Stegostoma tigrinum: one gene and its partners. The protein of the gene in region 2 interacts with the protein of the main gene of each other region in a pairwise test. Links are inferred from orthologs where the notes say so. Each region holds a gene or a part of one and is shown on either strand. Other genes may lie near its edges.

What was found. The genes of interacting proteins can lie anywhere in the genome.
Region 1: the proteins of UV excision repair protein RAD23 homolog A-like (region 2) and mindy3 interact in binary tests that used the Homo sapiens proteins (3 or more experiments, as listed by UniProt). The two-hybrid records come from large-scale screens. The link is inferred for Stegostoma tigrinum from reciprocal best matches to the Homo sapiens genes RAD23A and MINDY3.
Region 3: the proteins of UV excision repair protein RAD23 homolog A-like (region 2) and ngly1 interact in binary tests that used the Homo sapiens proteins (3 or more experiments, as listed by UniProt). The two-hybrid records come from large-scale screens. The link is inferred for Stegostoma tigrinum from reciprocal best matches to the Homo sapiens genes RAD23A and NGLY1.

Annotation. Positions count from the first base shown.
Region 1 is NC_081355.1:111,965,306-111,972,861, reverse strand, and holds the start of mindy3 (ubiquitin carboxyl-terminal hydrolase MINDY-3), read right to left. Parts: upstream 3,016-7,556; 5' UTR 2,849-3,015; coding exon 2,761-2,848; intron 1-2,760. UniProt on the Homo sapiens protein: Hydrolase that can remove 'Lys-48'-linked conjugated ubiquitin from proteins.
Region 2 is NC_081388.1:16,541,169-16,549,023, reverse strand, and holds the start of UV excision repair protein RAD23 homolog A-like, read left to right. Parts: upstream 1-4,849; 5' UTR 4,850-5,054; coding exon 5,055-5,120; intron 5,121-7,855. Other genes in the region: calreticulin-like, read left to right, coding at 908-1,096. UniProt on the Homo sapiens protein: Multiubiquitin chain receptor involved in modulation of proteasomal degradation. Binds to 'Lys-48'-linked polyubiquitin chains in a length-dependent manner and with a lower affinity to 'Lys-63'-linked polyubiquitin chains.
Region 3 is NC_081355.1:63,429,877-63,437,592, reverse strand, and holds the start of ngly1 (peptide-N(4)-(N-acetyl-beta-glucosaminyl)asparagine amidase), read right to left. Parts: upstream 3,016-7,716; 5' UTR 2,780-3,015; coding exon 2,676-2,779; intron 1-2,675. Other genes in the region: oxsm (3-oxoacyl-[acyl-carrier-protein] synthase, mitochondrial), read left to right, coding at 7,451-7,716. UniProt on the Homo sapiens protein: Specifically deglycosylates the denatured form of N-linked glycoproteins in the cytoplasm and assists their proteasome-mediated degradation. Cleaves the beta-aspartyl-glucosamine (GlcNAc) of the glycan and the amide side chain of Asn, converting Asn to Asp.

The sequences.
Region 1 (7,556 bases), on a different chromosome or scaffold from region 2:
GGGGGGGGGGGGCCCGAGAGGTGCGGGGTGGGGGGCCGAGAGGTGCGGGGTGGGGAGTGGGGGGGGGGGGGGCCCCGAGAGGTGCGGGGTGGGGGGCCGAGAGGTGGGGAGTGGGGGGGGGGGGGGGGCCCGAGAGGTGCGGGGTGGGGGGCCGAGAGGTGCGGGGTGGGGAGTGGGAGGGGGGGGGGGCCCCGAGAGGTGCGGGGTGGGGAGTGGGGGGGGGGGGGGGGCCCCGAGAGGTGCGGGGTGGGGAGTGGGGGGGGGGGGGGCCCCGAGAGGTGCGGGGTGGGGAGTGGGGGGGGGGGGGGCCCCGAGAGGTGCGGGGTGGGGAGTGGGGGGGGCCCGAGAGGTGCGGGGTGGGGAGTGGGGGGGGCCCGAGAGGTGCGGGGTGGGGAGTGGGGGGCCCCGAGAGGTGCGGGGTGGGGAGTGGGGGGGCCCCGAGAGGTGCGGGGTGGGGAGTGGGGGGGGGGGGGGGGCCCGAGAGGTGGGGGGTGGGGAGTGGGAGGGGGGCCGAGAGGTGCGGGGTGGGGAGTGGGGGGGGGGGGGGGCCCCGAGAGGTGCGGGGTGGGGAGTGGGGGGGGGGGGGGGCCCCGAGAGGTGCGGGGTGGGGAGTGGGGGGGGCCCGAGAGGTGCGGGGTGGGGAGTGGGGGGCCCCGAGAGGTGCGGGGTGGGGAGTGGGGGGGCCCCGAGAGGTGCGGGGTGGGGAGTGGGGGGGGGGGGGGGGCCCGAGAGGTGGGGGGTGGGGAGTGGGAGGGGGGCCGAGAGGTGCGGGGTGGGGAGTGGGAGGGGGGCCGAGAGGTGCGGGGTGGGGAGTGGGAGGGGGGCCGAGAGGTGCGGGGTGGGGAGTGGGAGGGGGGCCGAGAGGTGCGGGGTGGGGAGTGGGAGGGGGGCCGAGAGGTGCGGGGTGGGGAGTGGGAGGGGGGCCGAGAGGTGCGGGGTGGGGAGTGGGAGGGGGGCCGAGAGGTGCGGGGTGGGGAGTGGGAGGGGGGCCGAGAGGTGCGGGGTGGGGAGTGGGAGGGGGGCCGAGAGGTGCGGGGTGGGGAGTGGGAGGGGGGCCGAGAGGTGCGGGGTGGGGAGTGGGAGGGGGGCCGAGAGGTGCGGGGTGGGGAGTGGGAGGGGGGCCGAGAGGTGCGGGGTGGGGAGTGGGAGGGGGGCCGAGAGGTGCGGGGTGGGGAGTGGGAGGGGGGCCGAGAGGTGCGGGGTGGGGAGTGGGAGGGGGGCCGAGAGGTGCGGGGTGGGGAGTGGGAGGGGGGCCGAGAGGTGCGGGGTGGGGAGTGGGAGGGGGGCCGAGAGGTGCGGGGTGGGGAGTGGGAGGGGGGCCGAGAGGTGCGGGGTGGGGAGTGGGAGGGGGGCCGAGAGGTGCGGGGTGGGGAGTGGGAGGGGGGCCGAGAGGTGCGGGGTGGGGAGTGGGAGGGGGGCCGAGAGGTGCGGGGTGGGGAGTGGGAGGGGGGCCGAGAGGTGCGGGGTGGGGAGTGGGAGGGGGGCCGAGAGGTGCGGGGTGGGGAGTGGGAGGGGGGCCGAGAGGTGCGGGGTGGGGAGTGGGAGGGGGGCCGAGAGGTGCGGGGTGGGGAGTGGGAGGGGGGCCGAGAGGTGCGGGGTGGGGAGTGGGAGGGGGGCCGAGAGGTGCGGGGTGGGGAGTGGGAGGGGGGCCGAGAGGTGCGGGGTGGGGAGTGGGAGGGGGGCCGAGAGGTGCGGGGTGGGGAGTGGGAGGGGGGCCGAGAGGTGCGGGGTGGGGAGTGGGAGGGGGGCCGAGAGGTGCGGGGTGGGGAGTGGGAGGGGGGCCGAGAGGTGCGGGGTGGGGAGTGGGAGGGGGGCCGAGAGGTGCGGGGTGGGGAGTGGGAGGGGGGCCGAGAGGTGCGGGGTGGGGAGTGGGAGGGGGGCCGAGAGGTGCGGGGTGGGGAGTGGGAGGGGGGCCGAGAGGTGCGGGGTGGGGAGTGGGAGGGGGGCCGAGAGGTGCGGGGTGGGGAGTGGGAGAAAGAGCTGCGGGGTGGGGAGTGGGAGAAAGAGCTGCGGGGTGGGGAGTGGGAGAAAGAGGTGCGGGGTGGGGAGTGGGAGAAAGAGGTGCGGGGTGGGGAGTGGGAGAAAGAGGTGCGGGGTGGGGAGTGGGAGAAAGAGGTGCGGGGTGGGGAGTGGGAGAAAGAGGTGCGGGGTGGGGAGTGGGAGAAAGAGGTGCGGGGTGGGGAGTGGGAGAAAGAGGTGCGGGGTGGGGAGTGGGAGAAAGAGGTGCGGGGTGGGGAGTGGGAGAAAGAGGTGCGGGGTGGGGAGTGGGAGAAAGAGGTGCGGGGTGGGGAGTGGGAGAAAGAGGTGCGGGGTGGGGAATGGGAGAAAGAGGTGCGGGGTGGGGAGTGGGAGAAAGAGGTGCGGGGTGGGGAGTGGGAGAAAGAGGTGGGGGGGGGGAGAAAGAGGTGCGGGGTGGGGAGTGGGAGAAAGAGGTGCGGGGTGGGGAGTGGGAGAAAGAGGTGGGGGGGGGAGAAAGAGGTGCGGGGTGGGGGGGGGGAGAAAGAGGTGCGGGGTGGGGGGGGGGGAAAGAGGTGCGGGGTGGGGGGGGAAAAAGAGGTGCGGGGTGGGGGGGGAAAAAGAGGTGCGGGGTGGGGGGGAAAAAAGAGGTGCGGGGTGGGGGGGGAAAAAGAGGTGCGGGGTGGGGGGGGAAAAAGAGGTGCGGGGTGGGGGAGAAGAGGTGCGGGGTGGTGGGGGGAGAAGAGGTGCAGGGTGGGGGTGGAGGTGGGGGGAGAAGAGGTGCAGGGTGGGGCTGGCCCCTACCTTGGGTCCATCTGCGGAAGACGGAATCAGACAGGGCGCTGTTCGGGCGTTTCCCCCACACCAGCTCCGCCAGCTCGATGTTATACATGTCCCGGCCGCTGTGCGGAGCCACCGCCTCCGCCTCTTCTTCCTCCCCCGTGCCGTCCCCGTCCTCTCGGTAACCCGCTCCCGGCCGGTTTCTCCCTCAGGCTCCGACCGACATCTTGCAGCTCGGTAACATCCAGGAACCTCTTCCCAATAGAACCGGAACTGACAGAAATGCCGCATGCGCCTGAGACGGCCAATCATGGCCAGGGTGCGAGCGCCCCAGCTGGCGTAGGATTAAACAGCTCCTACCTACACCTCCACTGTCGTAAAGTGCAGGGAGATGTGTCCGCTAATGTCCCATCTCCAAAGACAGATTTGGTGCTTGTTTTTTGGATCTGGTAGTCATAAATTTTCAGCCGTATTGAAAGCTTGGCAAAGATCAAAAATGTTTGTAGACGTTCTTGGCTGTGAAAGAGATAGGGTCTTTTCATTTGCTCTGATGGCTATTCTTGAAATTGCATTAACAAGATAGAGTCAGACAGTACGGAATGGAATACACACTGCCCCCTCCCCTTTAAATGTTGGTTGATATTCATATTTACAATGGAGCTGATTCCTTAGAACTCTTGTCGTGTTCTGTTAATACTGTTACCTCAGAACCAGGAGGCCAGGGTTCACATCCCATCTGTTTCAGACCTGTGTCATAATGCATCTGAACAGTGACTGGAAATGAATCCTTTGGGCTGTTGACAAAATCCAAGAGTTCTGTTACAGGGTGACCAACCATCCTGTATTTTGCATTTTGTCCCACATCCTATACATTGGTTTCCCAGGACCCATTTGCCATACATTGCTCAAACAATGTTTGGGAGACTGCTGACTTGTTTACTCTTGCCACTGCCTTATATCATTTGGTATTTTGCAACGCATAACCCATATAGCTGCAGAGATGTCAATAGGAGAAGCAGTCGGCTGGTGCTATGCCTTCAGATGTCAAAGCAATTGCATTTGTTGCCAAGCCTGTGGAATTCAGCAGATGGGTGTTTGGAGTGAGACCATGGAGCCCAATTCTTCGCCTTTTTTCCATGAGATTTTACCTCTGCCAACCAATTGCGACAATTTCACACAATCTGTCTCCACCATGTCATTGCCTGCTTTAGAGTCTTGTATTTTTCGATTACGTCACCTATTCGGATCAATTAAATGGCCAGCCCATTATCAACTGTAGCTGTCTGCCATATATATTAATTGGGAGCAAGAGTGGGCCATTCAGCCCCTCAAGGTGACTCCAACATTCAACTAGATGATGGCTGATCTACTTCAACCACCATTTGTTTGACCTATCCTCATATCCCTCAATGTCTTTAATATGTAACAAACTTAATCTTGAATATACTGAACAATTGATAGCCATCTGAAGCAGAAAATTTCAAAGATTCTGTACCCTCCAAGCAAATACATTTCTCATCTTTCTCAGCCCTAAATATCCTTATCTTATTCAAAGTTTGTATCCACTAATTCTAGGCACCCCAGCCAGGAACAACAACCTTCTAGTATTTACTTTGTCAGCTTTGTAAGATTTTTGCACATTTCAATGAGATTACTTCTCATTCTTTTAATGTCCTGATAATAGAGGCCCAGTCCATTCCATCTTTCTTCATAGAGCAGTCCCTCCAGCCTAGGAATTAGTTTGATGAACCTTTAGTGCAATTCCTCTACGGTAAATGCGTCTTTCTACAGGTAATTGGAGACTAATGCTACACACAATGCTCTTGGTGTAGCCTCACCAGGCTCTATAAAAGACTACTAAATATATTTTTTAATGAAGATCAGTGTACAATTTGCTTTTTTAATTGCTTGTTGTTCTTGCATATTAACTTTCACTGATACTTAAATAATAACACCTAAGTCCCTTTGAAGTCCAACACTTTCCAGCCTATCACCAATTAAGAGGTACACCATACTTTGGTTTTTAAAAGTGGTAACTTCATTTTTCTGCACAGCGTGTTCTGACTACCTTTTTATTTGTTTATTCACTTAGCCTGTCAAAATCTCTTGAAGCCTCCTTGCATCCACCTTGACAATTTTGTTCTCATTTGCAATCTTGGAATTATTAAATTTGCTACCTGCTTCCAAATCATTGAGTTCGATTGTACATGGCTATGACTGAAACACTGATCCTTGCAGCATCCAACTAGTCACAGCCTGACAGCCTGAAACTTATCCATTTACGCCACTGTGCTCTCTGCCATGAACTAATTCTTATTCCATGCCACTGTAATCACCCCCAATCCCATGAGCTCTGCTTCTTACCATCTGTGTGGAACCTTATTAAAATTTAATTATACCACATCCACCATTTCCTATTTATCTATTTTGCTGGCTATATCCTCAAAAACATTAACAGGTTTGTCAAACATTATTTCCTTTTCAAAAATCCATTTTTACAGTGCCCAGTCCTACCATTTTATTCTTAATGCCCTGTTACTGCATCCACTATAATAGATTCTCACAATTTCCTTTGATTCAGTTGTAGATCATCTCAGATTTAGAGTTTTTCAGTTTAGCTACCAGTTAACACTTCATGACACAATCTGAGATAACAAAGTGTGGGGCTGGATAAACGCAGCAGGCCAAGCAACTTCTTAGGAGCGCAAAAGTTGACGTTTCGGGCCTATTTTTATGATGAAAGGTCTAGGCCCGAAACGTCAGCTTTTGTGCTCCTAAGATGCTGCTTGGCCTGCTGTGTTCATCCAGCTCCTCACTTTGTTATCTTGGATTCTCCAGCATCTGCAGTTCCCATTATCTCATGACACAAACTGACTTGTCACTTCAGTACTGTGGGTGTGCTGCAACATTGGTGGTGTTGTCTCTCAAACAAAACATTAAGCAGAGGCCTTTTTATCTCACTCAGTTGGATATAAAAGATGTTATTTTGAAGAAATTGAATCATCAAAGACTTGCATTTATGTGCCCCCTTTCACATTAGAAAACACTTTACAGCTAATTAGGTATTTCTGAAGGGTAGTCACTGATACAATGTGGAAATGCAGCAGCTAACTCTCAAGCAGCAAGGTCCTATACTAGCAATGTGACAATGAAAGGAAGACCGATCTTTATTTTGCAGTTATTTTATGATCACTGGATTTCTGAAAGCACATAAAAGCCAATTAAGTATTTCTGAAGCGTAGCTATCTCTGGAATGCAAAGAACAGGTAATCTATTTGTGATGTTTATTGATGAATAACTCGCTGGAGGAGAGGGTTACCATCCATTACAATAAATCACCAAGAAATACTAGTCTACCACGCATGCAAGGTTATAGAGGTTACTTATGTGGGTGAGAAATTATGTTTTCCCTCTGAAATACAAGCCAGGAAGAGAATAACTGTCAGCACATGTTCTGTTTTATTTGTCACCATATAACAGACACAAGAAAAAAATCTAGGCGCGAAGCTCTATCACCTAGTAAATGTAAGAACCACAAACCTAGATATTGATTAGAGAGGAGACTAACAAAAACAAGAACTCCAGGTACTTTGTCCTTGAGTGATACTGCCTTTGCAGTTTTGTTCAAGAAGAGGTGACATCTCATGAGAAGATGGTGTTCTACTGGTCAGACCCAGAACCGTTATATTCAAAATGACACAGAATGAATTTCTTGAGAATATACATGAAAGCCAAATGGAAGTGCTGAAGAGATAGTAGGAACTGCAGATGCTGGAGAATCTGAGATAACAAGGTGTAGAACTGGATGAACACAGCAGGCCAAACAGCATCAGAGAAGCAGGAAGGCTGACATTTCGGGCCTAGACCGTTCTTCAGAAATGATTTCTGAAGAAGGGTCTAGGCCCAGAACATCAGCTTTCCTGCTTCTCTGATGCTACCTGGTCTGCTGTGTTCATCCAGCTCTACACCTTGTTATCTCATGGAAGTGCTGAAGTATGAGTTTTGAGTCAGATCAGCTGTGTATTGGATAGTTATCTGCAAAAACATTGAAAGAGTATACACATACATTGTGTACCAGAAGTAAAGAAAACACAGTAATAAATGAAAATTATAGCTACTGAAACACCACTCAGACATTGACATGCACACTCAAGAAGAGTCTCTCTTAATAGCAGACTATTATTTCTAAGCTCTGTTTTAACTTAAAGGTGAAATGTTTGGCAGCTATAACAATCATTTAAGAAGTAATGAACAAATCCAGAATACTTGAAGAATTTACTGGACAGTATGGTTTTATGTCATCACCATATTATTCAAAGAGGGGACACAGTTTCTTAGAAAAAGAAGTCCAGATGTTCAAGGAACCTTCGGGGACTGTTGAGAGACAAAGGAAGATCTAAAAATGACTTTACTGTCAATTCAAGTGTTAGGAATGATGTCAGAGAAGAATATTGAGTCCTGTGTTCAGCAGCAGAAATCAACCTCTATTCAGAGAACCTCACCAATGCAGCATGGAAGAGGCCCTTCTCTAGAGCACTGTCCCTCTCTCAGCCAAGTGCAGCATTTTATATGTACCATGTTACAATGGTGACGTGCAACATTGATGTCATTGTTAGCTACATCCCCCTAATCTATATATCTAATCCTATAAACACACAATCAATGATGGACACCCCTATGGAGATCCCTAGGTTCTCTCACAATCTCATGATATTTACAAGATATCTTTATCATCTGTCTTTGGAATCTTACAATATATTATATTAAATTACATTACAATATTGACAGTTACCTACTCCTTCCCATGCATTAATTGCCAA
Region 2 (7,855 bases):
TCCCCCCCCCTTCCTCTCCCCCCCCCTTCCTCTCCCCCCCCCTTCCTCTCCCCCCCCCTTCCTCTCCCCCCCCCTTCCTCTCCCCCCCCCTTCCTCTCCCCCCCCCTTCCTCTCCCCCCCCCTTCCTCTCCCCCCCCCTTCCTCTCCCCCCCCCTTCCTCTCCCCCCCCCTTCCTCTCCCCCCCCCTTCCTCTCCCCCCCCCTTCCTCTCCCCCCCCCTTCCTCTCCCCCCCCCTTCCTCTCCCCCCCCCTTCCTCTCCCCCCCCCTTCCTCTCCCCCCCCCTTCCTCTCCCCCCCCCCTCCTCTCCCCCCCCCCCTTCCTCTCCCCCCCCCCTTCCTCTCCCCCCCCCCTTCCTCTCCCCCCCCCCTTCCTCTCCCCCCCCCCTTCCTCTCCCCCCCCCCTTCCTCTCCCCCCCCCCTTCCTCTCCCCCCCCCCTTCCTCTCCCCCCCCCCTTCCTCTCCCCCCCCCCTTCCTCTCCCCCCCCCCTTCCTCTCCCCCCCCCCTTCCTCTCCCCCCCCCCTTCCTCTCCCCCCCCCCTTCCTCTCCCCCCCCCCTTCCTCTCCCCCCCCCCTTCCCCTCTCCTCCCCCCCCCTTCCCCTCTCCTCCCCCCCCCCTTCCCCTCTCCTCCCCCCCCCCTTCCCCTCTCCTCCCCCCCCCCTTCCCCTCTCCTCCCCCCCCCCTTCCCCTCTCCTCCCCCCCCCCTTCCCCTCTCCTCCCCCCCCCCTTCCCCTCTCCTCCCCCCCCCCTTCCCCTCTCCTCCCCCCCCCCTTCCCCTCTCCTCCCCCCCCCCTTCCCCTCTCCTCCCCCCCCCCTTCCCCTCTCGTATTTGAATGTTCTATTTTCCACCCAACTCTCCATACCCATTCCCAACTCAATGACTCTGTCTGTCTTTAAATTGTCTTTTCAGGAGCCAGAAAAGAAAATGAAAGAGCAACAGGATGAAGAGGAGAGAAAGAAGAGAGAGGAGGAAGAGAAGGATAAGGAGGATGATGCTGAGGGGGATGAGGAGGATGAGGATGAAGAGAAGGAAGAAAAAGAGGAAGATGAGGAGGAGGAGGAAGAAGAAACAGAAACCGTTCAAAAGGATGAGTTATAAAGATTGTAATAAATGCTGAGAATGAATGGCAGCAGGGCAATGTGCAGAAAAGTTACACATAGCAACTGGGACCCCTTATTGGAATGTTTTTTGTTTATGAACAAATTGGCGGGGGGGGGGGGAAATGTCAGGCTTTTAGGGTTGGGGCAGTAAGTGAACATGAGAATATATCCACTGAGGAAGGGACTGCTGAAATTTCTAAACCTTCCTTATTAAAAATTTGGTAACTAGAAGTCAGCTTCATAATGGTGGGTAGGGAAGGATCAAACCTGAGTGGAACTTGGGCTGTTGTGTCTTGCATCTTGAACATGCCACATTTAATAATCCTAGAAATCATCTGAGCACGTTTATGCTGTTTTTCAACTGAGGTGTTAGCTTTTTTAAATTGGTCAACCCTTCAGTTTAAAATTTGGTAGAAGCCCAAATCTATTTGCTTGCTGCCAGTAATTTCCAAATTTTGGGTTCCAGTGCTGTTAGGTTAGCTTGTTTTGTGTCTTTGTCTAGGTAAACATGATACAACTGAACAGTGTACTTGAGCATGTTTGAGATTCTACAGTTGATGCCAGTTAACTTCCAGGCTGTACTGCTTTATAAGATCTCTCTTTTTGGTTTTTGAGAACCACTCAGTTCCCAGGTGTAACTAAAATCTGATGGGAATTAACATTGGGGATGGTATGATTTAAATTGACCAATTTCACTTCCATTTGAGGTGGGGGGGGGGGTGCGGGGTGCCCCTGTTTAACGGGCTTCAACTGTAGGTGTAATTGTATAGCTGCCTTTTCCATTCAGAACAATTGGGTAGAGCAGGACTGCACTGGTTATATAAATGGATGTTTATCGGCTCTTTCCAAATCCAGGGTCAACTTTGCCTTTGTATTTTGCATTCTTTATATGGGGGTTTCATGAAAAGGAGGGGGAAAAATTTCTTTATTTCCAACAACATTCAAAAGGAGACTTAAATTCTGTACAGACCAAGTCTAAAGTTGTCATTTTAATCTGTTATTTAAATGTTGTAAATTGGTGATTTAATTGATGACTGTTTGGGGAAAACTTGTTCTGTGTGCAATACAGAAGTATGTTTGATCACATTTCTACAATAAATACCAATGGAAGTGAAATAATTGTTTGTTCTTTCCTTTTCAGTTTGGAATAGTTCTTAGTCCTTTGAATTTCATGGACTTTTGGTATTGGGGGTGGTAAAGTGTGGATTCATTGGTTAATAAAGCTGGAATTGGACAAGCCATTTGGGTTGCCTGGCTGTAGCCAGTGAGATTAATGCAAGAATCAGTGTTGGATTTTAGCTAATTGTAATATCAATTAATACAGAGGGTCAGAGGATAATCCTAACAAAGACTGTTATAATATGCAGAAAATTAAATTGAGGAGAAACAAACTGCAAAGGGCTAAAGTCATCAAATGGGCATGGCAGATGTTAATTATGATAAGTTATCCAGTTTGGATTTGTGCATAAAGAAATTTTTTTCAAGGGTCAAGATCCTGAAAGCTTGCCGTTCAGAGGGACCTGGGTACCATTTTATTCATCAGAAATAGCATGCATGTAAAACAAATTGGCGACCTTTTTATTACAAAGCCTGATGCTGAATGGTCTAGTCCTGCTATGATGCTTTCCAACTGCTATGTTCTTGACTACAGAATAAGGTAATTGAACTCCATGAAGAGCGCTTTTGTCAGATGGCAATTCTTTCCATGTTGGTGGTTTTCTCTCCAATTGATTCTATTAGATATCCCTGTGAGTAACCAATTTCCACACCTCCTGAACTGACCTCTTAACTCATTAAAACAGAGTTTTGCAGCATAGAATGAATTTGTCTATCACCTCTTAATAGATAATTAACCCCTGCAATCCCACCATTTCTATTTTGGATAAATATTGAAAATTTTACTTCCATAATAAGCCACTAGATTCTGCTTCCACTTTCTGGTTGAGCATTTTTCAAGTTGTAATTTTTTTTTAAATTAAAAGCAAGCTCCTAAATTTAGAAGTAAGGATTATGTCCCCTAGTTATGTACTAGACTTGCACTTTGTTTGCTTTTCAAACTATGGAAAATGCATGAACTTCACTTTTTTTTTGGGAGTGAAGAGTGTAATTACTGGAAGTAGGTTTTGTACAAGACTTCAGACTGCACAAATAGCAGTCATTTGCTCCAGAAAAACCATTTGAGCCAGGAGAGATTTTTTTTTAACAGCAATCTTTTTTTCAAAGAAAAACCCTACAGGCTGAGGTGCTGGAGCATGGTTGCAGTGTTGTCAATCCCAGTTCAAGCCCTCTATGTAAAGCAGATCTCCTATACATGCAGAAATCATTGCTTTTGATCAGCTATGTCACATTTCAGTACTTGTCTATCACTTGACTTGATTTAAAAGGTAATTCTTTATTTTGACAATATTTCCTGAAGACACCTGTCTTTCATTTTGAGTTCACAATATTACAGGAGTCTCAAAAGTGAGAGTTGGACTCCCAAGTAGGTTTGTAAGTTGGAATTTAGGTTAAGCGCTATGACAGACTGTCCCCTTACTCTGTCCTTCTCCCCTGCCACATTCTTGACAGACGGACTGAAACAGTTTTGAGGCTTCAAAATGGAGCCACGGTGGGGATGAATTTGGGCAACATTTTCTAACACTTATGCAGTTTGCATTCAGATAATGCTGTCCTGCTCAGTAATCCAAAGAAAATTTTGTCGCAAGTCCCTGACGAAGTTTTCTACGCTTAAAGTCAGAAGTCATACAACACCCAGTTACAATCCAACAGGTCTATTTGAAATCACCAGTATTTGGAGCACTGATCCTTCATCAGGTGATTGCATTTGGAAGGTTTGTTACTTCAGATAAACCTGGTCCCATATGACTTCTGACATGTTTCAGTGAGTGGTGCTCATCAGAGCTATTAACCTGATTTTTTTTTTAAATGTGATGCAGTGGAGTGCTTTGAGCTGCTTAGAATGTGTTGAGGTGGTCCTACAGTGCATTTTGTTCATAATTCCAACCTTAGAAAGCTGCCATGATGGAGACATGGATAGTAGGAACTGCTGATGCTGGAGAATCTGAGACAACATGGATGAAGCTGGATGAACACAGCAGGCCAAGCAGCATCAGAGGAGCAGGAAAGTTGACATTTTGGGTCAAGGCCACCTGAAATGTCAACTTTCCTGCCCCTGTGATGCTGCTTGGCCTGTTGTGTTCATCCAGCTTCATATGGTGTTATCCATGACCAGAGATATATCCCAGATATTTTCTAATCAATATTACATTTGGAAAATGTGGGACTTGCACCTGGCCTGCTAACCTAGCAGCAGGAACTCTGATGCAAGATATGGTCACTGATGCATTTTATTAAATTTTAAATTCTGCCAGCTGCCTTGATTGTTGTCTTGATTTTCTTCTTAAAAAATATTTTTGAACCAATTTATAATCCCTGCAGATACAGCAACAGGAGAGTGAACCTTTTCCCCACACCCCCCCCCCCCCCCCCAAAACCCTATACCTGCCTCTGCAGTGCCTGGACTTCTGGATGATTTGTTTGTGACATTAGTACGCTGCTACTGCCTATCCTCAATATAAATGCAAGTTTCTTATTTCCATTATCGTTTGCACATTGAAACTTAATTGCACAGTTGTCAGGCATTGAGACAAGTAACGAGTCCGAGTTGGCACATCTTCCCTCCGACTTTAGTGGAAGGCCACACACCACGTGAGATAGCCCGGTCGCCATGGCAATGACGTTACGCCAGCGTAGCGTTTGCGTAAAGATGGCGGTGGTGGCTTGAAGCAGTGGGGCCTTGGTGGAATCTTCGAGCAAACCGCAGGTGGCGGAGGAGCGGGATTACTTGATTTTTTTTTTGTTTTAATCGCCTTTTTTAAAAAAACCCACCCGGCGGCGGTTCCACTTCCCTTCCACCTCCCCGGCGAGGGGAGGTAAGGGGGAAGGAGACCGTCACCATGTTCATCACCGTGAAAACGCTGCAGCAGCAAACGTTCAGAATCGAGATCGACCCCGAGCAGACGGTGAGGGAGGGAAGGGGGTTCAACACTGTACTCATTTACCCCCCCACCTCACAACCACCCTAACATCTCTCACATGCCTCCAGTCAACGACCCTCACCTCCCCATCAACAGCCCTCTCAAACCCTCACAATCCCTCGCCCAACTCCATTTACTTCAATACAAGAGGCCTGACAGGTAAGGGAGATGAACCCAGGGCTTGGTTGGGACCGGCATGTCATAGCCGCTGCAGAAACATGGTTCAAAGGTAAACAGGACTAGCAGCTTCATGTTCCAGGCTGTAGATGTTATCAGAAGGAGAAGTGTGGTTCTTTTGGATAGGGAGTTAATTGCTGGGAGATCGTCCAATGAGGTTATAGTGGGGAAGAATTTAAAATGAGAAAGGGATGATTATCTTGTTGGGATTGTTAATAGCGCCCCCGCCCCATAGTCAGTGGGAAGTTGAGAAGCAAATATGCACAGAGATCTCAGATAATCTATAAGCAAATAGTGTTGTATTGGTTAGGGATTTTAACTATCCAAACACAGACTGGGACTGTCGTAGTATTAAGGGTTTGGATGGAACAAATTTGTTAAGTGTGTACAAAAAAACTTTCTTATTCACCATGGATGTATCTATTAGAGAAGGAGCAATACTTGACCTTCAGTTGGGAAATAAGGGAGAGCAGGTGATAGAGGTGTCAGTGGGAGAGCACTTTGGGGCAAGTGGTCTCAATTCTGCTGGTTTTAAAATAGTTATGGAAAAGGATGGAACTGATTTTACAATTTAAATTTGTAAATCGGATTGAGGCCAATTTGGAAGGTATTACACAGGAACTTCCAAAAGTTGATTGGGGAAAGCTATTCACAGGTAAAGTGAAAACCAAAGAACTATGGATGCTGTAAATCAGGAACGAAAACAACGTTGCTGGAAAAGCTCAGCAGATCTGGCAGCAGTTCTGAGGAGGGACCACTGTCCCCAGATGCTGCTAGATCTGCTGTGTTTTTCCGGGAACTTTGTTTTCCTTCCAGGTAAAGTGAATTTGTTTGGGAAGTGGGAGGCCTTTTAAGCATGAAATAAAAGTATTGACTATGAATGACTAGTATTTTACTTCAGTACTTAATGTGAAGAAGGAAATGGAACTTGGAAATAAATGGAGGTGGCTTGGAAAAGGTTGATATGACAGAAATGACTATTATGAGGGGGCATAGTTTTAAGGTGATTGGAGGAAGGTACAGGGGAGATGTCATATGTGGTGGGCATGTGGAATGCACTTCTGGCAGTGGTAGTGGAGTCAGATACTTCAGAGACTTTTAAGTGACTCTTGGATAGGAACATGGAGGATAGCAAAATGTAGGGTTTGCAGGGTAGGTTGATCTTAGTGGGATAATAGGTCAGCACAACATCGTGGGCCAAAGGGCCTGTACTGTTCTCTGTTTTAGGAGGAAGTGCTGGAGATCTTAAAATACATAAATGTAGATAAATCCCCACGACCTGGTCAGCTGTTTCCCAGAACATTGTGGGAAGCTGGAATAAAATTGGTGGTCACCTTTGCTGAGATATTTGTATCATCAGTAGTTATGGGTGATCACGGAGGTTGGCTAATGTGGTGCTGTTATTTAAGAAAGGCCGTAAGCAAAGCCAGGGAACTAGAGACCAGTGAGCTTTGCATCAGTGGTAGGTAAGGTGCTGGAGGGGATTCTGAGGGACAGGATTTACATATATTTGGAAAGGCAGTGTGTGATTAGGGATAGTCAGCATAGCTTTATGTGTCTTACTAATTAGATTGAGTATTTTGAATAGGCGACAGACAAGGTTGATGCGGGCAAAGCAGTAGATGTCTGTGTGGACTTCACCAAAGTGTGCGACAAGGTTCTGCATGGTGAAGTTGTTAGTAACGTTGGATCACTCGGGATCCAGGGGGAGCTAGCCAATGGGATACAAAATTGACTTTAAAGTAGGAGACAGGGTGGTGGTTGAATATTGCTTTTTGGACTGGAGGCGAGTGACCGGTGGTGTGCTGCAGGGATCAGTGCTGATTCCTTGCTTTTTGTCATTTAATTAAATGACTTGGATTTGAATATAGGAGGTATGGTTAGTAAGTTTGTTGATGACACCAAAATAGGTGATGTAGCGAACATGAAGAAGATTATCTCAGAGTACAACAGGTCCGTGATCGGATATGCCATTGGGTCAAGAAATGGCAGATTAAGTTTATTTAAGATAAATGTGACATGTTGCATTTTGGTAAGGCAAACCAGAGCAGGACTTACACAGTTATAGTAGGGCCCTGAGGAGTGTTGCCCAATAAAGAAACCTAGGGGTGCAGGTGCATAGTTCCTTGAAAGTGCAGGTAGACTGGGTGATGAAGAAGCATTTGTCACCCTTGCCTTCATTAGTCATAACATTGAATATAGAGTTGGGATGTCATGTTGCAGCTGTACAGGATGTTGGTGAGGCCACGTTTGGAATATTGCATGCAATTCTGGTTGTCCTTCTATAGGATGGATGTTATTAAACTTGAGAGCGTGCAGAAAAGATTTACGAGGATGTTGTCAGGACTGGAGAGTTTGAGCTATAAGGAGAGACTGAATACATTGGGGCTTCTTTTCTCCTGGAGTGTTGGAGACTGAGCTTACAGAGGTTTATAAGATCATGAGCGTCATGGATTAGGGAGTCCAAAGCTAGACGACACAATTTTAAGGTGAGAGGGAAATGCTTTAAAAAGGACCTGCGATGTAACTTTTTCACACACGGG
Region 3 (7,716 bases), on a different chromosome or scaffold from region 2:
AGTGCAGGATTATAGGGATGGGATGGGTCTAGCTGAGATGTTCTTCAGAGACTGTGTGACCCCGTTGAGCCAAATTGCCTGTTTCCCCATGTAAGGATTCTATGGAAATTTATGGATATTGCCAGTATAAGAGGGGGGGAAAAAAGGGCAAAATATATGAAAATGTTAGCAATTAACAAATTAAATCCAAAAATACTAGATCAACATATTGCCACGATCCCGGCTGATAGCTATACTGGATATGTCAGATCTAAATACGAAATTTGGCTTGAAAGATCAAAAAGTTTATTTTTACAGTAGCTTACCACTGCAGTCAGGCATTGAACATATTCACGTAAAGCTGTTATGGTTCTTTTACTACAAGAACTCACGTTTATTAAACTAAAAAAGCTATCCAACAATTTAGAAAAATTTTAATATCAACAGCAAAACAAAGTTTCAAACTTTCCCAGCTATTATTTACAGATGCTCATAGTTTAGTATTACTCCCATCTTAACTAATTTCTTAATTACTGTCTCCAGTTCCGATGGCCTCAGGGCTTCCCTCCAGATTCAACAGCTTGAAACTGTTACTCAAACTCTGGCAGCTTGGAGACTTCATAAAATAAAAATCATTCTGCTGAGATGAAACTGAAATCTGATACTCCTGAACTGAACTCAAACCTAAGCACCAGTGATTCCTGGTCATTTATTTTTCTGCATGTCATAAACTTAGCAACGTAAACACCTCATTAAGTAACACCACCGGTATCTGGCTTGGCACTTACTAAGCCACATGCTTCCTTAGAAATTCTATTTAGGTCATTTCTGCCACTAACTCTGACCTCTCCAAAACAAAACTGAAACGCAATTCCATTTGCCTCTATTTTTGAAATTCAAATTCCCAAATGATAAAAGTGCAAAATAAATATTTTCACAATATGAAGCAATATAAAGATTGAGATTGGTTAAGGATGAAACAGAAATTAGACATTCTGAAAAGGGATAACATTAAAGTTGCAGCGAGGAGGCAGTCAAGATGCTGGATTAGAAAAGGAAAAATAGAAATGTGATGCCAAGTTAGGTAGACAGCAGATGCTCTGATCACAATCTTCAATTCTTCTTTGGACATTGAAGTACTGGCAATAGGTTTACATGTTATGGCATTGTCGCCTCTTGGTTCAAAAACATTTGGGGAAGGACTGCATCTGTGGTACAAAAGCTAATTGAGACAAATTCCCACTTTTTCAAGACAAAATCAGAGCTAACTAATCTAGATTGAGTTACTTGATGATCTAAAAGAAGATTGAAGAAGCTGGTGCAATTGATGTGTAATATGAACTTTCAAAAGATATTTGATAAAGAATAACCTAATAGACTTAAACATAACTACATGATATGAAAAGGGGACAATGGTAATATGGTAATGAAATTGGCTGGGAGATAGCAGGCAACGGCCAAGTTACTTTTGACTGAAGATAGCATTCAACAGGGTTCCCACCCACTCATCCACTTAAGGGTCAGTATTAGGATTACTGTATTTTTGCAGTTTGCATTAATAGCCTAGACCTACCTATAACATACAATTTTGATGTTTGCAATTGATATATACATGGCAACACAATGTGCAGTAAACAGAAGAGCCACACTTTAGCAAGACATTGATGAAATGAGCACACACAACTTACTATCAGTAGAATGCAGTTTAGCATAAATGATCTGGAGAGGCAGTATGATGTAAATTATACCATTCTAAAGGGTGCAGAGAAGTGGGATCTGCACGTTCACACACAGTGGCAGGGAAGGTTAATGATGTAAATAAGAAAGCATGAACACTTGGCTTAATGAATAGTGACAACAAAATAAGGACGTTACATTCAACCTTTACAAGTCTACAATTAGACCGCATCTGCAGCACTGCAAATTATTCCGGGGAAAACCAAACACCTTAGGAAGAACGTCACAATCCTGGAAAGACTAAAGAAGAATTTCCACATTGGGGTTTTGGACACCACGCAAGAATGCGAGGCAAGATATCGGGGTCTCCAAGCAATTCTGGCTGTGGCCAGTAGGAGGTTTAGACCGATTCCTGACAGATGAGAGATTTCTTAAAACCCTCTGGGTGTTCTCCCAGTGGGCACGGCCTGACAGAGTGCTTTCTGAGATAATGGGAACTGCAGATGCTGGAGAATCCAAGGCAATAAAATGTGAGGCTGGATGAACACAGCAGGCCCAGCAGCATCTCAGGAGCACAAAAGCTGACATTTCGGGCCTGGACTCTCTGATGAAGGGTCCAGGCCCGAAACGTCAGCTTTTGTGCTCCTGAGATGCTGCTGGGCCTGCTGTGTTCATCCAGCCTCACATTTTATTGCCTCAGAGTGCTTTCTGAGTTCTGATTACTGCTGCAAAAGAATCAGCCTCTGATACTATAACAGTGTGTCGAAGCCCAGCCAAACTTCCCACGTACACCCCTCTCGCCCAGAACACAACAATCGAAACCTTTCCTTCAACCTATGAGAAAGGTGGTAACTCGGGGAGTGAATCGACCCATCGAAACAACACATTGGGATAGGGAGAAAATAACGTATGTTAACCTTGAATCCAACTTCACTCTCTGAGGGCGACCTGAACGGAGCCGGCGGCTGAGCGCTACCATTTTCAACACCCTCCCCCGCAAACCGGGACCTAGCCCTTACCTCAGGATGTTGTCGGCATATTTCAGCAGCAGCTCTGAAGCGTCCAGGAAGATGTGCTCGGGATTCTGGCTCAGCTCGCTCACAGCCACCGACACCGACACCATGGTGGACAGGCTATGGACTGCAGCCCACAGGAGAGGGCGCTTTAACTCCCCTTCCTCGACGAACAGCTGCTCCTGTGTATTCAGACGGCAGACAATCTCCAATTTAAAAAGAAAACCGGAATACCGACAACCGCTCGGCTGTCTGAGGAAAGAAACTGAAATAACCTCCGTTCAGGAAGTGATGACGCTGCATTAGCGCCGCTCTTGCCCCTTTCGGGTTGATGCTCTTTGGTTTTGGGCGGACAACCTCCTGCTCCGCCCACGTCGTGACGTCGTGGCACGGCCATGGCTGAGTTGCGCCTGCGCCTCAGGGAGTTGGTGAGTGAGCGTAGACGAATCTGAAAAGTTGCTTCTGTCTCTTTGTTCACGAGTCCTTCTCTAAAAATATTTCCCGTGTTTTCTTACATTTTATTTTGTGTTTACTTATGTTTCGTCCAAAGGACGGCTCCTCCTCAGTCTTGTTTATTTTAGAAACTGAAAGTAGTAGTGCTGATCCATCTTTCGGGGAATTGAAGGGTCTAGGCCCGAAACGTCTGCTCTTGTGCTCCTGAGATGCTGCTTGGCCTGCTGTGTTCATCCAGCTCCACACTTTGTTATCTGAGGGCCCAAGTACTTCTGTTTCCAAGTTTCTTATATTGTTAAAAAAAATCACGATCCTAACTAGTTTTGACGACAAGTCACAGAACGCTTTTTTCTCTCCACACGGAAAACTGCTGACATGCTGAGCCTTTCCAATACTTGGAACTAACCTTTTGCTGGTCTTCCAAAAAATACTTAAGACTTCTTGTGATCTTCTCGTTCCCCTTCAATAAGGATCCCGGCAACACCTACCTGAGATAGTAGGAACTGCAGATGCTGGAGAATCAGTAGACCTGGATGAACACAGCAGGCCAAGCAGCGTCAGAGGAGCCGGAAAGCTGACGTTTCGGGTCGAGACCCTTCTGAGATCTGTTTTGGGTATATAAAATAACTTGCTAAGCAAAATAATAAATTGATTAAAAATGAGTAATTCATAAAATAATCATTTAAAAGCTATCTAGAAGTTTAATAAGATTTTTGCTCTACCTTTTCATTTAACTCCAGAAATAGAGCTAGAGAGAGATAGGCAAGGCTCCAAATCTTGATCAATGAAGAACGGAAGCAGACAGAGGACTTTAGGACTTGTTCTGGATCCAATTCATCCATTCTGACCAGATATCCTAAATTAATCTTGACCCATTTGCCTGCATTTGGCCCATATCTCTCTAAACCTTCCTCCTCATGTACCCATCCAAATGCCTTTTAAATGGTGTAATTGTAGCTGCCTCCAAAATTTCTTCTGACAGCTCATTCCATGCACACGTCATCCTCAGCATGAAAAACTTGCCCCTTAATCCCTTTTAAATCTTTTCCTCACTCACCTTCAACCTATGCCCTTTCTAATGTTGAGTTAGCCTTGGGGGGGTGTACATTCCAAACTGACCTTGGTGGAATTCATGTGAAAATGAGGTTTGGAAGTGGCTTGTCTTTCATCCTGTCCTGGCTTGTTGTGTAAATAGATGTTTGTTGAATGAGGAGGGGCGTGTGTGTGTGCATGTGTCCGCAATGAGCAGCCTCTGTCTTGAGTGTGTACGCTCACTGTCACTCGAACTTCGGTGGAGTGGGGGCACAAAGTGTGACACTGATCTGACAGGGCACACAGAACAAACATGTGGGTTGGGGGGACATGTGAAGTATCACACTGAACTATCTGGGGCAAAGAGTCTCATAAACTGTGGTGACTGCAGGGAAAAGCACCCCCCTGGGTGTACTTTTAGCCATGTATTCAAACGTATGCTTCCAGTACATGGAAAAGTTTAAGGCTGGGACATCTGAACAATTTAAGGAAACTGTCAGGACACACACCAACATCTGGTCACCCTATTTGAGAGGCTCATGATGGTGATATCTCATGCGTAATGTCTTCTCCCCACTCCTAGGCCAGTACGCCCTTGGGGATTGGTGTCCAATATTCTTGGCCTTCAGCAATGGCCACCTTATTGTGTAGTCAAATTGATTTGAGCATGTTTAAGAATGTTTTACATTTTGGTTACAAATTGATAGCGTAGGTAACAATTCCTTCATTGTAATTTTGCATACAAGAAGCTCATTTGAAAGGTGAAATAACAGATCACTTTCTCAATGTAAGCCTGGAGCTACAAAATAGACAACTTGCTGCAAGGACAAGTTTTAATGAATAAATTCAAATATTCGTTACATTTTATTTAACTGAATTAGGGTCAACTCTAAATAGCTATTCTGTGTAATATCTAAACCTATAATGTATTAAAAAGTGTTTTATTTATGTATATTTCCTATCTTGATAAAACTATCGTCATTATGGATTACTATATTTTTTTATTAGTGAGAGTTATCTTTGTAAATGCATCATATTTAAATTATACCTCTCAACCAGTAGTGGGATCGTGGTACGATCACTGCAGCAAAGACTCTGCTTTTGAGATTTGTCGTAACAATCATGAATAATATAAACTCGTTTCCACACCGTAGGGAATCTAATCTAATCTAAAGACATAGTGTTTGACTTTAAAATGAGAACTGGGTTATGTCTATGCCCCAGTCAAATTTCCCAATGATTACATCTGTACTTATCTAAAATATGATTTTGAAATACAGTCACTTATTTGTGCATTTACATGATTCATTTAAACTTTGAATTGCCCAATGCTGACAGCCTTCTAGAACCGAGGATCGGTGATAGACGAGAATGCCTTAGTCAATAGTACTGAACAATGTGAAAAATCCAGGAATGACCCATTTCCTCCACAGTCACATCAATTTAAGGCCATTTATGATATTGGTCATTATGCTGTTGTTAACTTTAGCCACACTGCAGGAATTCACATTTGAGCTAATGGCATGTTTAACAACGTTAAACATTTAAAAAATGGGAAAGTGTTGATAGTATCTGAACATTGAATGACATTTGCAAACAGGAGGGGGCAGTTGAAGATGGAAGAATTAGGATGTCGATTTCATGAAAAAAACTAAACATAAAAGGCAGAGAGGAGATGAAAGAAAAACCACCATAATAAGGATTTGAAATGAGGTGAGGAGTAATTGGCACAGTGATGTTTGAAACCCATATGCTGCTTGCATTTGATTGAAAAGAGTGCAGATGAGCAGTGGAATAAAGAGATGATTTTTGTTGGACAAAGAAAGGCTGAGGGTTGTCATGCCTTCCAAGATGGTCTTATAGTATTTTTTTTTCCTTATTCTTTCATGGAATGTGGGTGTCACTTGCAAGGCCAGTATTTATTGTCTATCCCTCATTGCCCTTGAAATGAGTGGCTTACTTGATTATTTCACAAGGCAATTAAGAGTCACCCACATTGCTGTAGTTCTGGAGTCACATGTAAGCCAAAGCAGGTGAAGATGGAAGATTTCCTTACCCTTATGGCATTAGAGAACCAGATAGGTTTTCATGCCAATAGGTAGTTTCATCATCATCTTCGCTGAGATCACCTTTCAATTCTAGATGTTTATTAGTTTCATTCAAGTTCCCCCAGTTGTTATGGTGAAATTTATACATGACAATTGGTTTGTGTGTCTGGATCAGAAATCTGTAGATTGTGAAGAAGGGTCCAGAGCCAAAACGTCAGCTTTTCTACTCCTCTGATGCTGCCTGCCCTGCTGTGTTCTTCCAGCTCTATACCTTGTTATCTCACAACACAACGCCATGATCTGTTATGCAATATGATCCTGTTAGGACAAGATACTGAATACAGATTAGGGTGTGTTCCTCATATTATCAAAGTTAAATTGAAAGGTAAGTTAATCAGCAGTCTGTTCCCCATGTCCCACCCCCATTAAAAACTTGTTTTGAGGCAGTGTTGAGGGAGTAGAGAAACAGAGTTTGAGTGCTCCCTAATTTTTGACAGGAATGGTGATGTGTGCATTTTTTGGGGGGAAAAAAGAGTTGCATGAAAAATAAACACAACAGAATAAGTGCACAAAAATCAGAAGCAATATAACTTTCCAGAGTGTCTTTATTTCAATGTTATATTTAGTTGAACTTGATCTCTTATGAACTGTTCAATCACAGTTGAAAATGGAATAAATTTTAGGGGAGGCAATGGCCTAGTTGTATTATCACTGGACTGTTAATCAAGAGACCTGGATAATGTTCTGGGGACCTGGGTTCAAATCCCACCCTGGTAGATGGTGGAATTTGAATTCAATAAAAATATCTGGAATTAAGAATCTAATGATGACCATGAATCTATTGCCGATTGTCAGGAAAACGTATCTGCTTCACTAATGTTCTTTAGGGAAGGAAACTGCCATCCTTACCTGGTCTGCCCTACATGTGACTCCAGACCCACAGTAATGTATTTGACTTTGAGCTACCCTCTGGGCAATTAGGGATGGACAATAAATGCTGTCTAGCAAGCAACATCCTCACCCCATTAATGAATAAAGAAATTATCACAGTTTGTAATTAAACATTATTATCCTAAGCATGCATTCTGTCTTCAAGAAAACTTACATTGCAAAGATTTGAAATTTGGTTTTTCACAACTATTTGCTTACTACTTGCAGATTTTTTAATGATTTTCCTGTGCATCTTTACTGTTCACAGTAAAACCAAGTGCATTTTCTTGCCAACGTTGTGGATAAAAGCTAAAAGATATGTTGCTGCAAAGGAAGAAGCTGCTAACAAAGGTTTTCTGGTATCAACTGTTGAATCTCAAGAATACAAGATCAGAATTGAATGCACGTTGTTTCGCAAGTACCAACCATCCAAAACGTCGAAGGCGAGTTGTCATTACTGGGATTGGCTTAGTGTCTCCACTTGGAGTCGGTACTCAACTCACATGGAACCGAATCTTGAAAGGAGAGAGTGGTGTTATTTCTTTAGATGAGTCACAGTATAGAGACTTGCCTTGCACAATAGC